3 linked regions of the Oreochromis niloticus genome follow. The protein of the gene in region 1 interacts with the protein of each later gene in a pairwise test. Links are inferred from orthologs where the notes say so. Each region holds a gene or a part of one and is shown in the gene's direction. Other genes may lie near its edges.

Region 1 (7,166 bases):
CACTACTATCCATTCATACGAGGTATTTAGATGCTTCCTCCACCTCTAACCTTAAACTGCCTCTACAGGTCATCTCAGTAATGAGCCATCTGGTCCTTCCTTCCTAATCAGCTATCCAAGGCTGTCTCATCCTCAGCCCAACACACTTTGAGCCCAGAGTTATTCTCTCCTTGCCATCTGGCCTCCATACCCAGCTCTGTCTTAACTCTGTCGGCGATTTATGCCCTCCTGAGGTGTTTCGCCTTTTAACTTGCACATAATTGGCCCCCAGGTGAAAAAAATGATGTGAATGCCAGTTTTTATTAGTTGCCAGGCAGGGGTCATTGTTTTTACACCATTCTTCTCCTCACCAATGACAAGGAAAAAACTGCCGTTACACTGGCTAAACGGAAAACCCTGTGCTATGTAAAATTCAAATCATAATGAGTACAGTAAAGCAATTAAAACCAAAAATGTGGATCCAGGTCTTTTCAGGGCAGTTCTGAAATTCTTTTCTTGCCCTGCCTGCAGTCAACAGGCCACTGCATTCACCTTCACCATGACTCACTCATTATATTATATTCAATTCAATTCAATTCATTTTATTTATGGAGTGCCAAATCACAACAGTTGCCTCAAGGCGCTTCAAATTGTAAGGCAAAGGCCCTGCAATGATAGACAGAAACGACCCACTCTGAGCAAGCACTTTAGCGACAGTGAGAAGGAAATAGGTACTCCTTTTTAACAAGAAGAAACCTTTGGCAGAACCAGTCTCAGAGAGGGGCAGCCATCTACCATGACTGGTTGGGAGCGATGGGGGAAAGACAGAATAAGAGGCACACTGTTAAAGAGGGATTAATAATAATTAATGACTAAATTCAGACTGGTGTATAAAACACAGCGACTGAAAAAGGTGAGTGAAGAAGAAATACTCATCAAGGCAACAGCCTAAACCTATTGCAGTGTAACTAAGGGGGGATTCAAGGTCAACTGATCTAGACGTAACCATATGCTTTAGAAACAAAGGAAAGTTTTAAGCCTAATTTTAAAAAGTAGAAAGCGTGTCTGTCTCTCAAGTCCAAACTGGGATCTGGTTCCACAGAAGAGGGCCTGAAAGCTGGAGGCTCTGCCTCCCATTCTACTTTTAAGTAAGTCCACAGTGTGAGAGCGAAGTGCTCTTAGGGAATGTTTGAGATTAAAAGGAAGGTTCAAGATTGGCCTATAACTAAAGATAAACATAAGATAAAGTCTCCTTAATTGTCGCTGTACTTGGGTAGTGAAATTGGAGGAGAGCTTACGTTTCAGCAGACTACCATACATACATTCTTACTTGGTTACACTCATCATTCATCCATGAAATTAGATAATACAATAATATAGCAAATATAATAAGATAGTAAAAATAAAAGTATAAGTATACATAAATATAGTTCTGCTAAAAAAGGATATTGCACAGCTTGCCACGCACTCTGGTTTCCCATCAGATTACTGCCAAAGACCTACAGTTTATCCACAACGCACATGCGCAAACTACAAGAGAGAAGCTGCTGGCCTCTCCGCTAGCCCCCAGTCATTGTCAGCTGTGCCTGGATACATCCTCAGCGACAGAGACAATTACATTTTTCTATAAGATTGAATTAAGCACAGCTTTCAGCGACGTGTAAACGATGGATGCACATATTAAGTGAAGGGGGATGAGCTTTATTGCAGCGCTGTCTGAGATAAAAGGAGAGAGATCGCTTTACTTCGGAACGTTTTCATTCATGACTATTTTTAGATTTGACGCTTGTCCTGACTGAACCTGGTTTAATTACTGCCACCTTACAGACATGTGGTATGTAGGCCATTAATAGAAAGACTGATATTTAAGATCAAAGTGTTAATTAATGGTAGGACTTTGAGTGTGAACATGATTGTTTTTTTCTCTAATTGTTAATTTGTTTTTCTTGAAGAAATGTATTAAGTCACAACTAGTTACTGTGAAAGGAAAGTTCAAAAGAGCTCTAACTCTTTGACACCCGGGTTATAGTTCTGAAGAGAAACATGGGGTTATTCTTCATTTCTTGAATCAGTGATACAAGTAAGATGTCCCAGCTTTAGGAAGGCCTTTGTTGTTGTTGTTGTTTTTTGTTTGTTTGTTTATGGAGCAACAAACTCTTTTTCTGGGCTAAATAAAGATCTTCTAATTTTGTGAGATGCCATTTCCTCTCTAGCTTACTGGTTGTCAGCTGTAAGGTGCACGTTTGAGGGACTCAAGTACTTTTGATTTGAAGCTTTATTTTTCAGAGGAGCCACAGTATCAAGGGTCGTATGCAGTGAGGATGTAGCACTACTAATGAGATAAATGACTTCTGGGGTAGTTGTTCTGTACTGTGTCAGCACATGGTATTGAAGAGGGTAACATGCCTACTGTGCTGAAATGTATTCCCCACTGCTGTGTGAATTTTAAAATGTTATTAAGAGAGTATAGCCCTGTAGACTTGTACATCTTACTGAGGTAAACTCTGAATTAATAAATGCATTGCATGGCTGTAGATACTTCAATGAAAGTGTTCTTCATTTGGTGAGATATTTTCAGGAGTGTTTTTTCCCCCAGAGAAGAGAAAAGGAACCTGTAATCATCCACTTCAGTTGCCTTCCATAGCATTCCCATTCATTGAACTTGCAAGTGCATTCTTTAATTTTAGGAACTAATCAAATTGTTGTATAAAGTTCTAAAAGTTTCCACTAGCTCTCAGTTTCGTTTTGTTTCGTTTTGTGATAAATAATGCATCCTAGGATGTGTGTGTGTGTGTGTGTGTGTGTGTGTAAAAATCAATTAATTAGTCAACAACACTTAATGACAGTGTTGGGAAGGTTACTTTTAAAATGTATTCCATTACAGAATACTGAATACATGCCCCAAAATGTATTCTGTAACGTATTCCGTTACGTTACTCAATGAGAGTAACGTATTCTGAATACTTTGGTTTACTTAATATATTATCATGCTGTTTACAACTACGTGAATGTCCTATTGCTGTGATTTATTACTGTTACTGAAGGTCCGCGGCTCCGAACCGTAGTAAAGGGACCTCTGGCTAATACGGTGGGTTCCGTGTCGGGCTGGTAGCCGAAAACTAGCTTTACTTTGTTGTCTGGGTCAACTTTGCTTGCCAGAGACAGAGAGAGGCGTTGAAAGGCTGCTCCAACAGAACTTATTTTTTTCCGGAGGAAAACACGAACACAGTGTACAGTCGAGTCTTAAAATAGCTTACTTACAAATGGGCTCGTCAGGCACTCTTCTTGGCTGCAGTGGTTATTATTATATTTACATGCTTCCAGCTCCCGTTTTTGCTCCGTGACAGCTCGGACTTCCTTTCTCTCCCTCCCTCGCTCACAGACACATAACGGGTATGGTAGTCCATTCTCCCTGCAGCACGGACTACACTGCCCATCATGCTACATTCTTTAGAGCTATGCCTGTAGCACTCTGCCTATTAGCTTAGCACAACAACAACAACAAAAAAGCGCTCTCTCACCCAGGAAACACGCAGAGAGAGAGCGTCACCCTGTAACCATGGCAACCGTAACGCTGCCGCCTGGAACAACAGAACGTAGCTGTCAAACAAACCCAAATAATCCTGACCCGCGACAATATGAAACAGGGAAGTACCGCCGTGTAATCCATTTATTTCAACAAAGTAACTGTATTCTGAATACCACCTTTTTAAACGGTAACTGTAACGGAATACAGTTACTCATATTTTGTATTCTAAATACGTAACGGCGGTACATGTATTCCGTTACTCCCCAACACTGCTTAATGACTATCAAGCCACAAGCACAGAGCACAAGAACATTTTCAGTCTGTTGATCGGGTGTTCAGAACTTTGCCTTTTATATATTTTTTATACCAGTTGCGAAGATAAATAAAATACCTAGAAGCACATTTTAAGCTCATCAACGTATAATTATCTGGAGGATATACTGCTATTATTATTGTTGATTATCTCAATTAGATTTCAAGTTAGTTCGTTCTTCTTCGTTGATTTAATTCAGGCGATATGCAGGACTTCAATTTCGTGGGTCTTTTTGGGGTCCTTGACGTGGCATTAATAAACAAAGATGGCGGTGGCGTTTACACCTTCGTTGAATTTTACTCTGAATTAAAAACTTTGTAGTCTTAAGTAATTGGAGTATTTCCTACATGTGTCTCGTTAGTCGAGTTGCAAAATGAGCGGTTGGGCCGGTTTTTCAGACGAGGAGCTGCGCAGGATACAGCAGAAAGGTAAGTTAATCTTTCTTGCTGCTAGTGAGAGACGAAGCACTCAGCACTTCACTCTGATATTTTATTCCTACTTCTTTACTGTAGTAGTAACCATGGTCACGTGTCCTTTTTCAGACTCTACTGTATCTGCACCTCCAGTCCGGGGTCGAAAACCGGCTTCAGGTAACCGGAGTCGGCAGCAGTTGCAGCGAGAAAGAGCCCTGCAGTCAGCAGCCCAAAAAAGCACAGGAGCCGAGTCACTTGTTCTTTCACCCGAACAACAACTCACCAAACCGTCCCCGAGGGAAGAGCCTAAACCCACAGCCCCGGCGACAACACCCACTGTCAAACAAGAGGTGCAGCAGGAGCCCGCTATAATGAAGCCCAATGAAAACGACCAACCGACAACAGAAGAAGAAACCCCAGTGGTTAAAGAGCTGGATAAGCAAGAGATTGAATTGTTAGTATGATTTTGTTCTCACGTGCACTGTAAAGATGACAGGTACACTGACCAATATTTACATAGTAGGTGTAATACCAGGGTAGCAAACATGCACAAACATGCATTGTGTGTTTTCATGCACACGCTGGGCCATTCTGTGCTCTTCTTTGAGACTGTATCAGAGTGAATCTAAATATACAAATAGATCCAACATTTCTTGGACAAAAACACATTTTTTGTAGTTTTACCACAAAGGATTTTAAAACAACCAAGATGTGATTGAAGGGCAGATCTTCAGCTTTGATTAATTATCATCAACTGTTTAGAAACCGTACCCATTTTTATGCATTGTCCCCCATATTCTAAGGCTCAAAAGTATTTGGAGAAATTTAATTTTAAATATAAGGATAATTTTTTATAAGTTGAAACAGTCTTCCTGCATATTTTTATCTTTTGGTCTTTCTGATACAAATTCATGTTGATTTTATTTAGCGAAAGAATTAATTTTCAGCATTAGGCAGTCTCTTTCAGATGGGTTTTTGGTAAAGTCTATTCTGGTCTTCTTGTTCTTGAATGTAACTAGTAGTTTGCACTTGCTGTAAACCTTGGCATTTCCCCACATAAAAGTACCTCTTGATTTTAGACTTTGATAATGATACCCACCTCCTCGGGAGTGTTCTTGACTTTGTTAGAGGTATGCAATGTCCCCTTTATAATGTAGTACCGAATGGGTTATCACATGACTCGTCCGGCCAGGAAATGTTGACATTTTTGAATGTTGACATTCAGTCGTGACATTGATTTGAGATCATATCAAATCAGTTAATGCGTCTAGTTAATGCAGTCTATCTGGGTGAGAAACAAAACTTTAACTTACCACAGTAGATGGCTCCTCTCTGCCCTACTTTGCTGCTGGATGCATAGCACTCATCAGTGCTGTATCAATGTTTAGTTAATGTTCTAGTGGAACATAAAAGTGATGGTTGTGGAAAATAAACGCCTTTGCTTCTGTATAGACAAATCATTGGAAATTATTGATTTCCAGCACACAGGACTTGTCAGGGTATCCTGTCATTGTAACAGTGGCTGTGGATCCTTTGGTTCCTGTGGGTTTCCAAAATATGGCCTCTATGGAACAGACTTCTTTCAGATTTGGAACAGATTTAGATGTGGGTAGTTTGGGAGACCTGCAAAAACCTCTGGGTTCTTTGTCCTGCTCCTTTAACGCTTCCTGAGCAGTTTCTTTACACTGTAAGGGTTGAACAGTGTAAAGAAACTGCTCAGGAAGCATTAAAGGAGCCCACCCCCTCACGGAGGGGGTGGGCCTTGGTTGGCAGTGTTGGTTGGTGGGTGATGTAGATCAAAGCGATAACCAAAAGAATGATGCATCATTCTTGTGGATATCTTTGGCTGTCAAAGCAATCATAGTATATGATCCATGTGATTTGAGTGCTGTATAAATGACAGTGCTGTCAGTCTTGTACATGTGGCTCACATTTCAGTTAAATTTATGCATACTACCTCAGCACTGTCCACATCTTACTCAATTTCCCTCTGGGATGAATAAGGTTTCTCTGATTCAGATTCTGATCTCCACCAGATACTTGGGGAAAAAAGGGAATCAGAATATCAACACACAGTGATTAAATCTTACAAATAATAATTTGCCAAACCCATACCATAGGGTGCTGTTGTGTTTGTAAATTTGAATTATTTTGAAAGACACTGTTCCTTTCATAATGCTGATGTTTTTTGTTTGGTCTTTCTGAGATGAAATTGCAAATGTATTTGTTTAAATTCTCATTTTGTGTGATGGCAGACGGGAAAAGACACGTCTGGAGCAACTTCAGCAAGAGCAGAAAATCATCGAAGAGAGAAACAAACGCAAGAAAGCTCTGCTGGCAAAAACTATCGCTGAGAAGTAAGTATATGTAGTTTGGTGCTCCCTAGAATACCAAGTCAACATGATGAATATAAATGGGCCTCAAAACTGCAAAGATTAAGGTCAAGGTAAAAACAACAAAAAAACCCCAATATGTATGAATGGTTTATTATTTTCCACAGATCCAAACAGACTCAGGAAGAGACTGTAAAGCTAAAGAGAATCCAGAAAGAGCTGCAAGCCCTCGACGACATGGTGTCTAATGACATTGGCATCCTGAGAGGAAAGATAGAGCAAGCCAGTTGGGACTACACAGCTGCAAGGTAGACTTAACATCAGGAAAAAAATATTTAAAAAAGTGTCAGTAAACCTTTTTCCACAGCTGACATGAATTTGTTACAATACTGAAAGCACAGATGGTTTTTGATGACTTCATGGCCCACCGGTACACTTAAGCCCACATTCACACCTGGTACCTGTGATCCAGTCACCTTAGTTAGGTCACACCTTAGGCATTAGAATGCATCCACACATGCATGTCAGTTGACCAGTTGAAGTGTCACTCTCCACTAGGGATGAATATTGACTAAAATTTCCTTGATCCCAATGCAAGT
Region 2 (6,940 bases), on another chromosome or scaffold:
GAAAAGTAACAGCAATTGACTGCAATCTGCAATCTACTGACATCTAATGGTGAGATTTTACACGCTGTAACTTTAATAAAAATAGAAAATAATAAGTCACCTCCTCTACATAGATGACATCAAGGTGTATGCCAAGAGTGAATGAGACATTGATTTACTCATCCACATCACCAAGATATACACCAACAACATCAGAATGTCGTTCAGACTGGAGAAATGTAGTCGGATGATAACAAAGACAAGGAAGGTAATCAGAACTGAGAGGATCAAACTACCAGAAGGCAACATTGCAGACACTGAGGACAGCTACAACTACCTGAGTATCCCACAGGCAAATGGAAACCATGAAGAGGCCACTAGGAAAGCTGCAACCACCAAGTACCTGCAGAGGGTCAGGCAAGTCCTGAGGAGTCAGCTGAACAGTAAGAACAAGATCTGGGCCATCAATACCTACGCCCTGCCCGTGATCAGGTACCCTGTTGGGATAATAAGCTGGCCAAAGGAGGAGATATAAGCCACTGACATCAAGACAAGGAAGCTCCTGACCATGTATGGAGGGTTTCACCCCAAGTCAGCACACTGAGGCTGTAAGCTAAGCAGAAGGAAGGAGGCCGGGGAGAAGTGAGTGTCAACACTATGGTCCAGGATGAGACAACGAACATCCATGAATACATCTGGAAGATGGCCCCCGTGTGCTCAGTGAATACCTCAGGCAGCAGAAACCCAAGAAAGAGGAGGAAGAGGAGGAACCATCATGGAAGGACAGGCTTCTGTACAGTATGTACCACCAGCAGATAGCGGAAGTGGGTGACATCCAGAAATCCTACCAGTGGCTGGACAAAGCTGGACTGAAAGACAGCACAGAGGCACTAATCATGGCAGCACAAGAACAAGCTCTGAGTACAAGATCCATAGAGGCTGGGGTCTATCACACCAGGCAAGACCCCAAATGCAGGCTGTGTAAAGATGCCCCTGAGACAATCCAGCACATAACAGCAGGGTGCAAGATGCTAGCAGGCAGGGCATACATGGAACGCCATAACCAAGTGGCCGGCATAGTATACAGAAACATCTGTGCCAAGTGCCGAATATGGCCTGGAAGTCCTGAGGTCAAAATGGGAGACGCCCCCAAGGGTGATGGAGAATGACCAAGCTAAGATCCTGTGGGACTTCCAGATACAGACAGACAAAATGGTGGTGGCTAAACAACCGAACATAGTGGTGGCAGAAGAAGACGGCCGTAGTGATAGATGTAGCGATACCAAATGACAACAACATCAGGAAGAAGGAACACGAGAACCTTGAGAAGTACCAAGGGCTCAGAGAAGAGCTGGAGAAGATGTGGAGGTTGAAGGTAACAGTGGTCCCAGTGGTAATCGGAGCACTAGGTGCGGTGACTCCCAAGCTAGGCGAGTGGCTCCTGCAGATCCCAGGAACAACATACAACATCCGAGATCTCTGTCCAGAAGAGCGCAGTCCTGGGAACAGCTAAGATACTGAGCAGGACCCTGAAGCTCCCAGGCCTCTGGTAGAGGACCCTGCAGGGGCGAGAGGGGATATATAACAACAGTTAAATGTCATTCATAGGTTTTTTTCTCAGCATCTCAGGTGATTTACCAAAGTGCCCCAATTTACCTGAGTTCACCCTTGCTCTTTTGAAATTATGCTATGTTAAAAAAAATCATATTGAGAAAATTATTGCAAAATATTCACCAATACAGTCAGAATTAGGTTGATAAGTAGTTGAACAATTGCACAGTCTTTTGTAATTTTGCTTCTGAACACCAGTGGACCAGCGACTGATGTACAGGCTTTAATTTAAAGGGTTTTACAAAAGTGTTGTATTAACCATTCATTACTGAGACATTTCATTTTAATGTCAGTCCCCCATTTTATGGTTCAAAACATAGTTGGACACACTAACATAAACTTAAATGTATGAATTGTCATTAATGAGTGGATGAAAATGATTTCCATTCAATAATTACCTTGAGTCTATAAGTCATAGGCATCACTAAATGCTGTGCCGGATGTTTACTACAGTTGCTGCTTGTTTGTGGGTTTCTCTGCTTTAATCTTTGTCTTCATTCACAAAATTACATTAAATGTGTCATTGTCCAAAAACATATTAATCTAAGTGTACACCTATGATAGATCAATATCAGCTGAGTATATTGGATAATTGCTTGGTCAGGATCCATGTATTGAGTATAATTCATGCACAGCTGTTGAACATGTATAATGAGAATCACTGGTTTTGGGTTATTGTCTTACTTGTAGTGATGCAATACTATATGTCAATACTGTACTGAAAACATATTCAGCTGATCCCACCTAAAATCAGTGTTGTAAAAACTGAGTTCCTTGAGGCGGCCTTATTCTTTTCAACACTAAGATAATACATTTATGGATGAAAATAGTAAATACTCATGATGGGCCTTCTGGAAATGAAATATTTACTATGTGAGTCCATCCATCCATCCATCCATCTTCATCCGCTTTATCCGAGGCCGGGTCACAGGGGCAGTAGCCTAAGCAGGGAAGCCCAGACCTCCCTCTCCCCAGCCACCTCCTCCAGCTTATCCGGGGGAACACCAAGGCGCTCCCAGGCCAGCCGAGAGATGTAATCTCTCCAGCGTGTCCTGGGTCTGCCCCGGGGCCTCCTCCCGGTGGGACATGCCTGGAACACCTCACCCAGGAGGCGCCCAGGAGGCATCCTTGTCAGATGCCCGAACCACCTCAACTGGCTCCTTTCGATGTGGAGGAGCAGCGGCTCTACTCTGAGCCCCTCCCGGATGGCTGAACTTCTCACCCTATCTCTAAGGGAGAGGCCAGCCACCCTTGGGAGGAAGCTCATTTCTGCCGCTTGTATCCGCGATCTCGTTCTTTAGGTCACTACCCACAGCTCGTGGCCATAGGTGAGGGTAGGGACGTAGATCGACCGGTAAATTGAGAGCTTCGCTTTTACACTCAGCTCCCTTTTCACCACGACGGACCGGTGCAGCGTCCGCATCACTGCAGCCGCAGCACCAATCCGTCTGTCGATCTCCGGCTCCCTTCTCCCATTACTCGCTAACAAGACCCCGAGATACTTGAACTCCTCCACTTGGGGCAGGAACTCATCCCCGACCCGGAGTGGGCACTCCACCCTTTTCCGGCTGAGAACCATGGCCTCAGATTTGGAGGTGCTGATCCTCATTCCAAAACTTTTAAATGAATACTTTAAAAACGGCTGAAAAAAAGGGGTTCAGAATAAAGCAAATTCCAAATTGTGTGGTATTCTAGGCTGTGTCCATATAGAGGTCAAGCAAAATAAACCAGAAACCCTCTAAATCTGCTCTGTTTCGGTTCATAAAGTCTAAAATCCTTACATCTTATTTAGAAGCACACTCCCAGCTCTTTTAACATGGCATGCTCATTGGGTTTATGTGGTCATGGGTCTAAAGAAGAATGAAGAGGTTTGGAAATTAGGCTTAGACACTCAGAAGCAAATCAAAGGCCACAGAAAAAGTCTGGTGCACAGTGGTGAGGGAAGTGCAACACTAAAGCAAAGAGGAGGATTCTATATTATAAACAACAAGATTATTTCAGAAATATGACATGTAGATAGTGCAGGGAATTAATACAGAAAAAGAATATTTTAACTTAGATTGAATCTTGCTGGTCTGTGTGAACACTGTTAGGCTGAAAAGGAGATCGCTCTTTAGACTAAAATGAACCTTAAAGTTGTGTGGACATGTTTAATGTTCTTTAAGAGACACTATTTATGGGCGAAATAAAATACTGTATAAAATAGTTTGTTTTGTTTTGTTTTTTTATTTTGTGTGTGTTTGTTTTTCCTTTTTTGTGTTTTGAGTCATTGGACAGGATTTGTACAGACTGCAATTCACATTCCGAAGCAGAGGTGGCGCTAATGCAACCTCAATGATGACATAACCAACAGCGCAGGAGCCAACAGCGCAACGCTGTAGAGCGGAGGGAGAAGAAGAAGCGTTCCATTTCGGGGTAAACATGGCTGCTTCTGCTGGTTGTGATCATTACATTCGCAGCTGCTTATTGAAAGTGAGTGAAATGATTTAAAATATGTTCGTACATTTGCCTTACATATACGGTGGAGGCAAATAGGCTTTGAATATGCCAAGTTATAACTGTGCTATAACGATTATGTCGTCGGTATATCTCTGCGAGAGACTGTCATAGTTAGCTAGCTAGCTAGTCATTTAGTCTTCAGCCGGTAAACGCCGCTGTAACAGGATTAAATAATAATGAACTTTTTGGACGGCATGATTTTGTATAATATCTGCACGGCATTGTTGAAGCGAGGGGCTTGAGAGTTTCTGGAGCTTTTCTCGCCTCCTTCCCTCCGGTCTTAGTCCTTCGCATCATAATTACGCGCGGAGGAGACTAGGAAGCTTGCTCCCTCTCACATTTGGAAAATAAGAAGAATGAGAGTTTATGTATCTAGCACAAAAGAGCACAAAACTGAATAGAATTTAAAATTGTTGCTTTCCTAATCGGTTGTACTTGACCTTGACAGAAAACGTCAGGGGGGAGGTCAAGGAAAGGCGTGGAGAATTAATCATTTATTTTATATACACTTTAATTACGTAACCTTTACACGCTGTTTATATTAAAATCTTTTACATTGTGTCCAAATTTTGATGTACAGATCTATTTAAAGTGTGTAAACAGCCTACCTGACATTGATAAGTGGATGACTCATCTTTATATTTTCAAACAGCAGGGAGAATGTACTTTTTTTTATGTCTTGGAGCCAAAACGTCTGATGCCACATGATATCATGTCCTTTTGTACCCAACACGTGACAAATATATTTTATCCTCATGTCCTCACTGCAATATCAGAAATAACACATTCTTAAGTCTGCTATTTAGTATATAGCTATCAATATAAATTGAATTAACTATTCTAAATGTTAATTGAATTGCAAATAACATTTACAACACAAAATATTGCGAACTTTCAAAGTAGTCTGTGCATTCAGAACAGTGGTAGGATACCTTTCATATCCGGGAGGACTTGTATATGTGCATCTTACACACACACACACACACAGACACACACACAAACACTGAAATGCACCAGGGGCTCAGATGCTTATGAACCGCTTAACCCCTCTATTAATTTCTGTTTGAATCGCAGTTCATTTAGAATAAATAGAGCATACATTTTTATTAATTTTTGGTTTGTAGTTAAATTGCAGATAAAAGTGCACCGATTGACCTGCCAACGACGTGATCAGCCAATTTTTAACTAATTATTTAATTAATTTATTTATTTATTGCATTCTCAGTCCCAACCCACGAATGGCTGGTCAGGCTCATCCATGCACACTCACAGCAATATGCTAATGTGTCATTAGTGTGGAGGCTCCTCACTGTGAGCCAGGACGTTTATAACAGCACGCCTAATCAGACACTTGATTAGTAGCTGAACATGGACATTTTAAATAACTTTTTAAAAAAAAGTGGCTAAAGCTAAAGCTGTTCAGAGTTCAGTCAGCTAGAAGCCAGCAGCCTGGGTATGAGAATCCAAACAGCTCCAGTTATCAGGGGAATTTATAAATGTTGTTTTGTTATATAGCATCGGCTTTTGTTTGATAAGGTAAAATATGTAAAATAAAGGTGGGTGTACCGCAGCTAATTGTTATTTAATTATTTGTACTTCTTTCCAGTAGCAGAGCATTTTTTTTTTTCAGTTGTTTAATAGAGAGGAGCTCCTGTAACGTACTGCTGTTTGGGAGAAATCTTAAAGTTTTATCATATATGCACATGCATATAATATTTACAGACACACACACAATTGCTGTGACAGTGTCAAGCTTCCTCTTGAACTTTGTCAGCACTGTTTAATAAAGAATTTTCAGAATAAGGATTACATTTAGACACACACACACACACACACACACACACACAGCAGCTTAGTGAGTTATTGCTACAGCTACACAAACTGTGATAGGACTACTATACCCATCCCTGTCTGTGCCCTGTGTAATCGCGTTTCTGCTGTACTGCAGGCACCTTGCTGCGGTAAACTGTATGTGTGTCGGCTGTGCCACGATGCAGAGGAGAACCACCAGATGGATCGATTCAAAGTCAGAGAGGTGCAGTGCTCAGCGTGTCTGAAGGTGCAGCAGGTAACTGAGGAAAAGCTAGTTAACGTGTTTGAGCTCCACCGTCGGTTACAGCAGGACCTCTCGATGTCACCTTAGTGCTTGAGTTGTACTTTTGATTATGGTTAGCTCGGATGAAGGGAAAAAGCTGTACAAATGTTATACTTTTGTAGACACAGCAGACTTGTCAGCAATGTCATTTGCTGTTTGGGGAGTATTACTGCGACGTTTGCCACTTGTTCGACAAAGACAAGAAGCAGTACCACTGTCAGCCCTGTGGAATCTGCAGGTAAGAAACTGATTTGATATATGTTTTAAGTGTCTAAATATTTCTATGTGTAACTTTAGTAGTAATAATGATACAGGTACTGGGGAAATGTCTTCTTAATGTTCCCCACAAAATTTTCCCATTTTCTTTAATAATCACAATGTTGTGTTTTGTTGTGCTGATATTTCACTGTTCACGAAACACGTGATGGCAAAATTAGTCATTTAGTGAGTTTTCAAATGTGCCTCTACAGGATTGGGCCCAGAGAGAAGTACTTTCACTGCGAGAAGTGCAATTTGTGTTTAGCTCAGGAACTGCGAGGAAACCACAAGGTGACTATTGCTGTGTTCCTGACTCACCCACATCTGTCTGTATTTTGAGCCCTCACAGTTTTAATTTCCCTTTATTTTTTATGTTTCAGTGTGTTGAAAATGTTTCAAGGCAGAACTGTCCTGTCTGCATGGAGGTAACAGCATTAATGGGATACAAGGCGAGGAGGATGTTGGCTCTTTTTTTAATCTATTTTCTCCAGAGTTTAA
Region 3 (7,408 bases), on another chromosome or scaffold:
CTGTGCGAAGTTTCAAAATTTAAGCAGCTGAGGAAAGCTGCGCATGGTGCGGCTTAATTTGGTCTGAAATGCAGCGCAAATGTGCTGCCTTAGATTCTTTTGTGCTATGGTTGTGGTTGGGCGTATCCCTACACTTCTCTTCACAGAACTCACAGTGCAAGACTGGTACAAGCACGAGTCAAGTCCTAACCCGGAGCATGTAGTAAGCTGTTGGCTTTACTTGTCAAAACTTCTGCAATGTTGTAGTTGACAAAATGACATCTTGGAACTGGCTTTATGTTAACCTCAAATCATCAGTAACAATGCTTTACTAGCTTATTCCTCTTTGGCCTTGGGGCCCTATTGCTTTGCATCTTAAAACCATAAGATGAGTAGAACCCGAATCTTTGAGTATTGTGTGGTGGGTGTGTTGTGTAGATCACTCTTTGTTTCAGATCATTCTCGTCTGTCCACTCCGATCTCGCCTGCCTCTGAATGCAAAGCCATCTGTGGAAGCTGTCAGCGATATGAGTGTGGCCCCTGAATGAAGTACCAATCCCCTGTGCGCTTGAGCTTAAATCTGAACCCCTGACGTCCTTCGCAGAAGCCCCCGCTCTGTGTTTGTGTGCCTTTTTCTTTCCCTTTGGTTTCTCAGGTCAAATTACCCCAAATTCTTAATTTTTCATCTGGGATGGCCTAACCTGTGATGGAACACTGAGAATCCAGTCACATTAAGATCAAGAGCTGCAAGCTTGTTTTCGCTAATACTGCATCACTTCAGTCTCGTGGGTGCTAAGTTAAGTAATTTCGGTTCCCTTGATTTTTCTTTAACATACCATGGCTTTAATGTGTAACTCAACATGTTGCATGCACATCAGCTATGCATAACATTTTATTTGTAAAACAATGTTCATAAAGTCGTTGTCAAACATTGCAGTAGTATTATGGTTAGGAGGGTCTGGGGGGGGCGCAAACACTCTTCTTTCTCCCTTTCAGATTTCTCATTCAGCTTATCTTGCTACTGAACCAGACAGCTTAAAGGTCTGCAGGGAGTCATTGGATCACTTGGTACTGCCAGCCTCTAGGGTTCATTTAATACATTGAAGAGCTGAGCATCAGAGGAAGAATAGCTGTGGTAAATGCTGCATCAGCTGTGGTAAACTACAACCATATTGATAAATTCAATCTCCCATCATATTGGATGAGTCTTGGTACAAGTGTGGGGTTTGGGTGGGGTGGGGGGGGCTTAAATTGTCTGTCTTTTTTCCCATTACAGCCATAAAATTGGCAAGAAAGCCTTCACTGTCAGTTGACCCGCGAGTCCTGCTGAATTGCAGAAGGGAAAATCGCTTTGACAAGGGATTCTGGTATCGTGGCTTTATTATGGCTAAACGGATTTCGTGGAATAATACACCAATACAGTGTCGCTGTGGGGAATTTTGGGGATTGGGGAAACCAGATGTCTCTCTCTGTTCTAGTTTCAGCCTCGTGACCAAGAGAATCCCCGTGTGGTGACAGCATAATTAGCATCCAGGTGTCGGGTTTTCTTTTCCTGGAAGAACAAATTGTTTTGTTCTTCCAGGTTTTGCTTTTGCCCTAACTAGCAAAAACAAAAAGCAAAAGACTCCGGTGGTGGCACTCCTGACTCTGTCGGGACGGGGTTCAATTCCCTGCGGTGTCTTGCTTTTTTAAATAAGCTTTGTGGGGCTGAAAGTATATTTAATAACACTTCGACTTAAATATGCATTCCATAAAAGGACAATGTCTGGGTGGGGAAAATATTTGAGTGGAAATGATCAATAAAACTTTAAAACCATGTCTCTGTTTTTGTCTCTGTTCTATAAATAATTGCATCAATATTCTGTAAATGACTTGATGAGGTGGGCATAATGGACAAAGAATACTCAACATTGTATCCAAGATGTCCTGTGATGATTGGCAACAGTTTTATAAACCTCCTTTTGCAGTCTGTGTCCTGGACACTACCCTTCTTGAGGTCCCTATCACATGATAACAAATGGAAGAGGGGAGGTCAGGAAAGAAGACCTGAGGGCAGCAGGCATCCAACAAGTCATCCTTGCTCTGGATCCACTTTAGTACAGCAGCATAAAACAGTCCAGCTATTGCTGTATGTGATGATCTCAGCTCTTCTATGAGATGACTATGTACAGTGTCATGAACAATTAAAACCTCTAAAGTAGCATTTTACTATACATGTATGTTTGTTTTTTTTGGGGGGGGGGGGTGTTTTTATTGAATGACACTGAAGAGCAGGATGTCTGATCAAGCTTAAAAGAAGGTATGAATAAGGAAAAGTTATTTGTAGACTTCAGCTATGTTTTGTTGGGGAGGGGTGTGTCACAACCTCAACTAACTTATTTTCATGCTCATCAGGCAAATGGCAATAAAGGAAAGTGATGTCAAACCTTAAACAGTTTAATTAGTTGGATACATGGGAATGTTTCATACTACACACAAATATGCAAACAAAGAATTTCATATTGTATCCTTGGGTATTTTATTACTTGTGGCCTGTGACAAATCACATTTGTTTCTTTCATTGAATCTACTGAAAATAACAGTTTGAGAGGTATAAAATATTTTTGCATTAACAAGGTATTTTAAGATTATGCTTAAAACTTTCCTTTTTAAAAAAAGCTTATAGTTAAGGTTGCATCAGTTTACCCTTCCTGTTAAAAAGGTGTTTTTCCTTCCCACCATTGTTTGTAACGGGTCATCTGATTGTTGAAGTTTATGGTTTGTATATATTGTAGAGTTTCTACATTACGATATAATGTGTATTGAGGTGACTGTTTTTGTGAATTGGTTCGTATACATAAAATGTACTTTTAAAAAAACTCAGAATGGTGTGCATTGTGTGTATCTTTAAAACATTTTTGTAAAATGGACAAGTGGAGGACAAAAGAAGTCATCTCAAGCATAGAAAATATCCACAGTAGATGAAGACTAAAGTCACATTCTGAAGAAATAAAAACAATCCAGCAAAGACCTAAAATTGGACTCTAGAGATCATCAGACCCTTCAGATGATCCATTCACTGTTTGATAAAGTCTCATCAGAAATAGGTACTCAGGGGTACAACAGTGAGGGTCTACAGCACAGGTGTCGAACTCCAGGCCTCGAGGGCCGGTGTCCTGCAGGTTTTAGATGTGTCCTTGATCCAACACAGCTGATTCAAATGGCTAAATTACCTCCTCAATGTGTCTTGCAGTTATCCAGAAGCCTGGTAATGAACTAATCATTTGATTCAGGTGTGTTGACTCAGGGTGTTATCTAAAACCTGCAGGACACCGGCCCTCGAGGCCTGGAGTTCGACACCCCTGGTCTACAGCCATCTGTAAAACACGGTGGAGGCTGTGTCAGGGTTTGGAGCAGCAGTTCAGTCAGTGGTGTTGGAATTCTTGTCGAAACTGATGGAAATATGAAGACAAAGTGTCATCACAGTTTAATTTAATATGCAGTTGTACATAGAAAGCATCTGATTGGCAACAGCTTAATTTTTTAGCATGACAATGATCCCAAACAAACTGCCAATGCAGTAAAAGACAAAGCAGTTGACTAAGAGAGTTCAAGCTGTGTTGAAGAATAAAGATGTGCATTAGAAATGTACAGAAATCTGTTTTTGTCTCATAAGCTGTGTTTCAATGTATATGTGTAGTTCTTAAAATAGAATTAAAATTTTGTAACATATACCTATTTTTGTAGAGAAATATAAGGAAACAAAGAGTGGCCCAAGACTTTTTGCACACTAATAATGTATTTGATCTATTTGTTCTGTTTTTAACAGATGAGGTTTATGGTCCAAGTCCTGTCTGAGCTGAAAAAAGGTGCACTACGTTTACTTGCTCTCTTCACATTTACATTGCATCTAATAAAAGGCAACACTCAAAAAATTATCTTATAAAAAATATATCAGAGACATACGCTGAGTAAGGATGTCAGCTTTGACTTTTGATTTTTTTTTTTTTCATACTTATCAGATCTTAAAAGTCAAACTGATTTAGCGGTAGATGGCTCTGATTCTGACCAAGGAAATCAGCTTGGCATGGTCAGTAACTTCCTTTAAGGCACGTCTAAGAACACATATTTTTATGGAACTTTATTGCCCTTCATATTTTTTTAAGGATTTAATTAGTTTGGTTGCCCCTGTGAAGCACGTTTTAATTTGTAATAGAAAAGTATTCGTTTGAGTTTATATTTTGCTACACGTATTGTAAACGTTTTTTGGACAGGTGACGTTGTTTTCATCGACATTATTTTATTACTACCCAAAGTTCAGTTTGAGGCTTTAATTTAGTGAGAGAACGAGTGAGGGGAATTTATACATAATAAATTAAGTCTTTTATATATATTTTTTTCACAGCAACCTGAGTAAGCTTAACTTCTTGTGGAACTAATAGGCAGAAACGACGTTTCCGCGGAGTCATTTTACATCCGTGCCAGTCGCTAGCTAGCAGCACTGTGTAGTTCACCTGTCGCTGTTTGTTTGATGAAGTGCGGAGCTAAGGGGAGATGTGGTCCTTTTTCGCTAGGGATCCCGTGAAAGACTTTGCGTATGAACTTCTCCCAGACAGCCAAGAAAAGTCCGGAATATGGACTCTACACCGGGGAAAGCGAAAGGTAAAAGCGGCAGCCTGCTGCTGCTGATGCACTAGCAGTCAGCGTTAGCTCGCTCGGTTATGGGGCCTGCCAATAAGCTGACAAGTCAGCTTTAGAGCTTGATTTAGCCTTCAGATTAAATGTCAGCTCTGTTAGCGTTTTTCGGGTGTTTTTCATTCATTCAATCAATCAGTCAGTCTTGGTAGTCATGTATTTTTTTTATTTTTATTTTTTTATTTTTTGCTTGGTCTGTCTGTCTGTCTGATAATTGTCGCTGACTAGCCTAGCTCAGGCTTTTTGTTTACTCCCGGAGGCAGACACGTATTTCTCGCCACGTCACCCGTTTTAGCCGAGTAACGGCTCTTATTTGAGCTGTTTTAAAGTTAATGCTTTATTTCAGGAATAAAAGATTCCGTCTTAACTGCAGACAGCACTGCATATAACCCACTGCTTCATTATTATCACCGAGAAGCGGAAAGCTATAATCTCAGTGTCATCATCTTCACCGCGGGCAGCCGAGCCCAAACTTCCTACTTTCATCATCCTCAGTCACATTAAATGTCTTTTCAGAATTCTGTATACAGTATTGACAGTTGCTGCTTACTGGTAATATTTTCTGCACGATGGCTACATTTATATCTATATTTAATACAGCACAGATGTAAGGCCACCATACTGTTCACATCAGTCCGATAAAATGGGAGCGTTGGTGTAAATTAAGCTAGTACATAATTTACCCTAATTTCTGGAATTTTGATTGTAGGGTGAATGTAGATTTTTTTTCCCATTATAATTGCTTAAATATAGCTATAATAATATTACCTGTAAATCTATAACACCAGTGATATATTACAATGGAAGGAAAATGGGAGTAGTCTGTTTGCAGAGGATAGCTTTACTTCAGATTAATTTAGTTTTATTTGTATAGCGCCAAATGACAACAACAGTGGCCTCAAAGTGCTTTACAATGTAAGGTAAAGACCCTATGATATTAGAGAAAAAACCCAGCAATCAGATGATCCCCTGTGTGCTGTACTTGGCTACAGTGTGAAGAAAGAAATGTCCGGCAGAACCAGGCTCAGGGTGGGGCAGCCATCTGCCATGATCAGTTAAAGCTGAAGAAAAAGAGAAGAGAATGGATAAAGTAGAGTATAAAGAGAACAGGGTAAAACAGAAAATACTGGAGAGACACAAAATTAAATGACATGCAAGTAGTGATGTCTGTTAGTAACATGCATACTCAAGTTGGAGTAAAATTTTAGACTTGGACTACACCCACAAAATATTGACTTAATTAAGAGTGATGGAGTAATTATAACTTGCTGCTCTTACTCCAATCTTTCTCCTCAGACCACTGGAGAGCCAGTGTCTGTGTTTGTATACGAGGTGGCTCAGGGCACAGAGCAGCAGACCCAGCTCGCCAAGGCTGCCTTCAAGCGTATGAAGACCCTGCGTCACCCTAACATCCTGGCCTATGTTGATGGGTTGGAGGTATGTATTTTATTGTGACTTAAATTTAACAGAAACCACTTTTCTTTAAACACACTTTTCTTGATATTTAGAGCTGAGATTCCATGTTTTGCTGTAACTGTCATATAATTAGTTGTGTCTCATTTCCGTCATCTGCTCTTCTCTGCATATTAAACATTAAGACAGAGGTGAGTGGGAATAGGCTCCTGTAGGCTTGTAGTAGTTTTGTAGTAGTTATAGTGAGTGAAGTAGCAGACAATTACAGAGCTTTCTCTTTGGATTTTAATGAGAGTATAATTGATACACTATTCACTATTAGCTCAACTAAGAATATGATTTTACCCTTTCATCTGGAGAATCTGTCCAAGGAATATGACCAGCAAACCGTACAGCATTAGCTAATCATTTATTTAACCAGGAAGTCTTTTGAGAGGAAACATCTTTCACAAAGACACCTGGCAATGAAAGTACACAATGACAAGGTTGGAAAACAATACAATCAAGCGGAGGAAAAACAGTCAGTAGACAAGAACAGAGCACGTGGAAGAACTGGTACATAATCAAATATCCAGCAAAGCAATAGTAGTCGCTTTTTCTTCTAAAATATCTGTGATCTGAACTCTCCAATATTCAGTAAATTTAGTATTAATTTATAGCATGTTTTTAATAGAGATCTGATGGAAAAATGCTGTGATGTATAAATGTGCTGTGCATATGATGGATAAATGCAAAAACTGGTGTGGAAAAGCTGTTTTCCTATGTCAAGTTACTCTTTAATGCAGTGACATAGAATAGTTTTGAAGTATAGTTTTGCTTTTATTTTTTTCCTTTCTTAGTTGATTGATGAGCTTGGTGTGGTTGTTACAGACAGAGAAGAGCCTCTACCTGGTTACTGAGCAGGTTACACCCCTGGCAGTCCATCTGAAGGCACGGGCAGAGAAGGGTGGTGTTGGGGAACTGGAGATCTCATGGGGACTCCACCAGATAGTGGTAAGGACAGGAGAGTTGAGCTGTTTGTGGCAGCTGTCCTCTATTAGTCGTTTCTCACCGTCTCTACCTCTGTTTGCTTACAGAAAGCTCTAAGTTTTCTCATCAATGACTGCCATCTGCTCCATAACAACCTGGGCATATGGGCTGTTTTTGTGGATCGAGCTGGAGAGTGGAAGCTAGGAGCCCTCGACCATGTGGTCCCTGAGCAGGGAGACCCAAGTGGGGTCTCGCTCCCTGCACCAAAGGCAGTTTACCCAGACATGGAGAAATATGACCCACCGGAGATGTCTAACAGCAGTGGAGAGAAATGGTGAGTGTGACATTTAGAGGAAAACTACCTGGTGCTCTT

What was found.
Region 2: the proteins of gorab (region 1) and rchy1 interact in a two-hybrid assay, tested with the Homo sapiens proteins (3 studies listed by BioGRID and IntAct). The link is inferred for Oreochromis niloticus from reciprocal best matches to the Homo sapiens genes GORAB and RCHY1.
Region 3: the proteins of gorab (region 1) and scyl1 interact in a two-hybrid assay, tested with the Homo sapiens proteins (2 studies listed by BioGRID and IntAct). The link is inferred for Oreochromis niloticus from reciprocal best matches to the Homo sapiens genes GORAB and SCYL1.

What each region holds. Positions count from the first base shown.
Region 1 is NC_031981.2:24,514,986-24,522,151, forward strand, and holds the start of gorab (RAB6-interacting golgin), read left to right. Parts: upstream 1-4,063; 5' UTR 4,064-4,194; coding exon 4,195-4,249; intron 4,250-4,363; coding exon 4,364-4,688; intron 4,689-6,489; coding exon 6,490-6,591; intron 6,592-6,734; coding exon 6,735-6,875; intron 6,876-7,166.
Region 2 is NC_031977.2:6,682,135-6,689,074, reverse strand, and holds the start of rchy1 (RING finger and CHY zinc finger domain-containing protein 1), read left to right. Parts: upstream 1-3,919; 5' UTR 3,920-4,011; coding exon 4,012-4,062; intron 4,063-6,037; coding exon 6,038-6,157; intron 6,158-6,306; coding exon 6,307-6,422; intron 6,423-6,654; coding exon 6,655-6,733; intron 6,734-6,822; coding exon 6,823-6,867; intron 6,868-6,940. UniProt on the Homo sapiens protein: E3 ubiquitin-protein ligase that mediates ubiquitination of target proteins, including p53/TP53, TP73, HDAC1 and CDKN1B. Mediates ubiquitination and degradation of p53/TP53; preferentially acts on tetrameric p53/TP53.
Region 3 is NC_031966.2:20,984,965-20,992,372, forward strand, and holds the start of scyl1 (N-terminal kinase-like protein), read left to right. Parts: upstream 1-4,395; 5' UTR 4,396-4,512; coding exon 4,513-4,620; intron 4,621-5,949; coding exon 5,950-6,090; intron 6,091-6,905; exon of another isoform or gene 6,906-6,912; coding exon of another isoform or gene 6,913-6,936; coding exon 6,937-7,059; intron 7,060-7,142; coding exon 7,143-7,369; intron 7,370-7,408. UniProt on the Homo sapiens protein: Regulates COPI-mediated retrograde protein traffic at the interface between the Golgi apparatus and the endoplasmic reticulum. Involved in the maintenance of the Golgi apparatus morphology.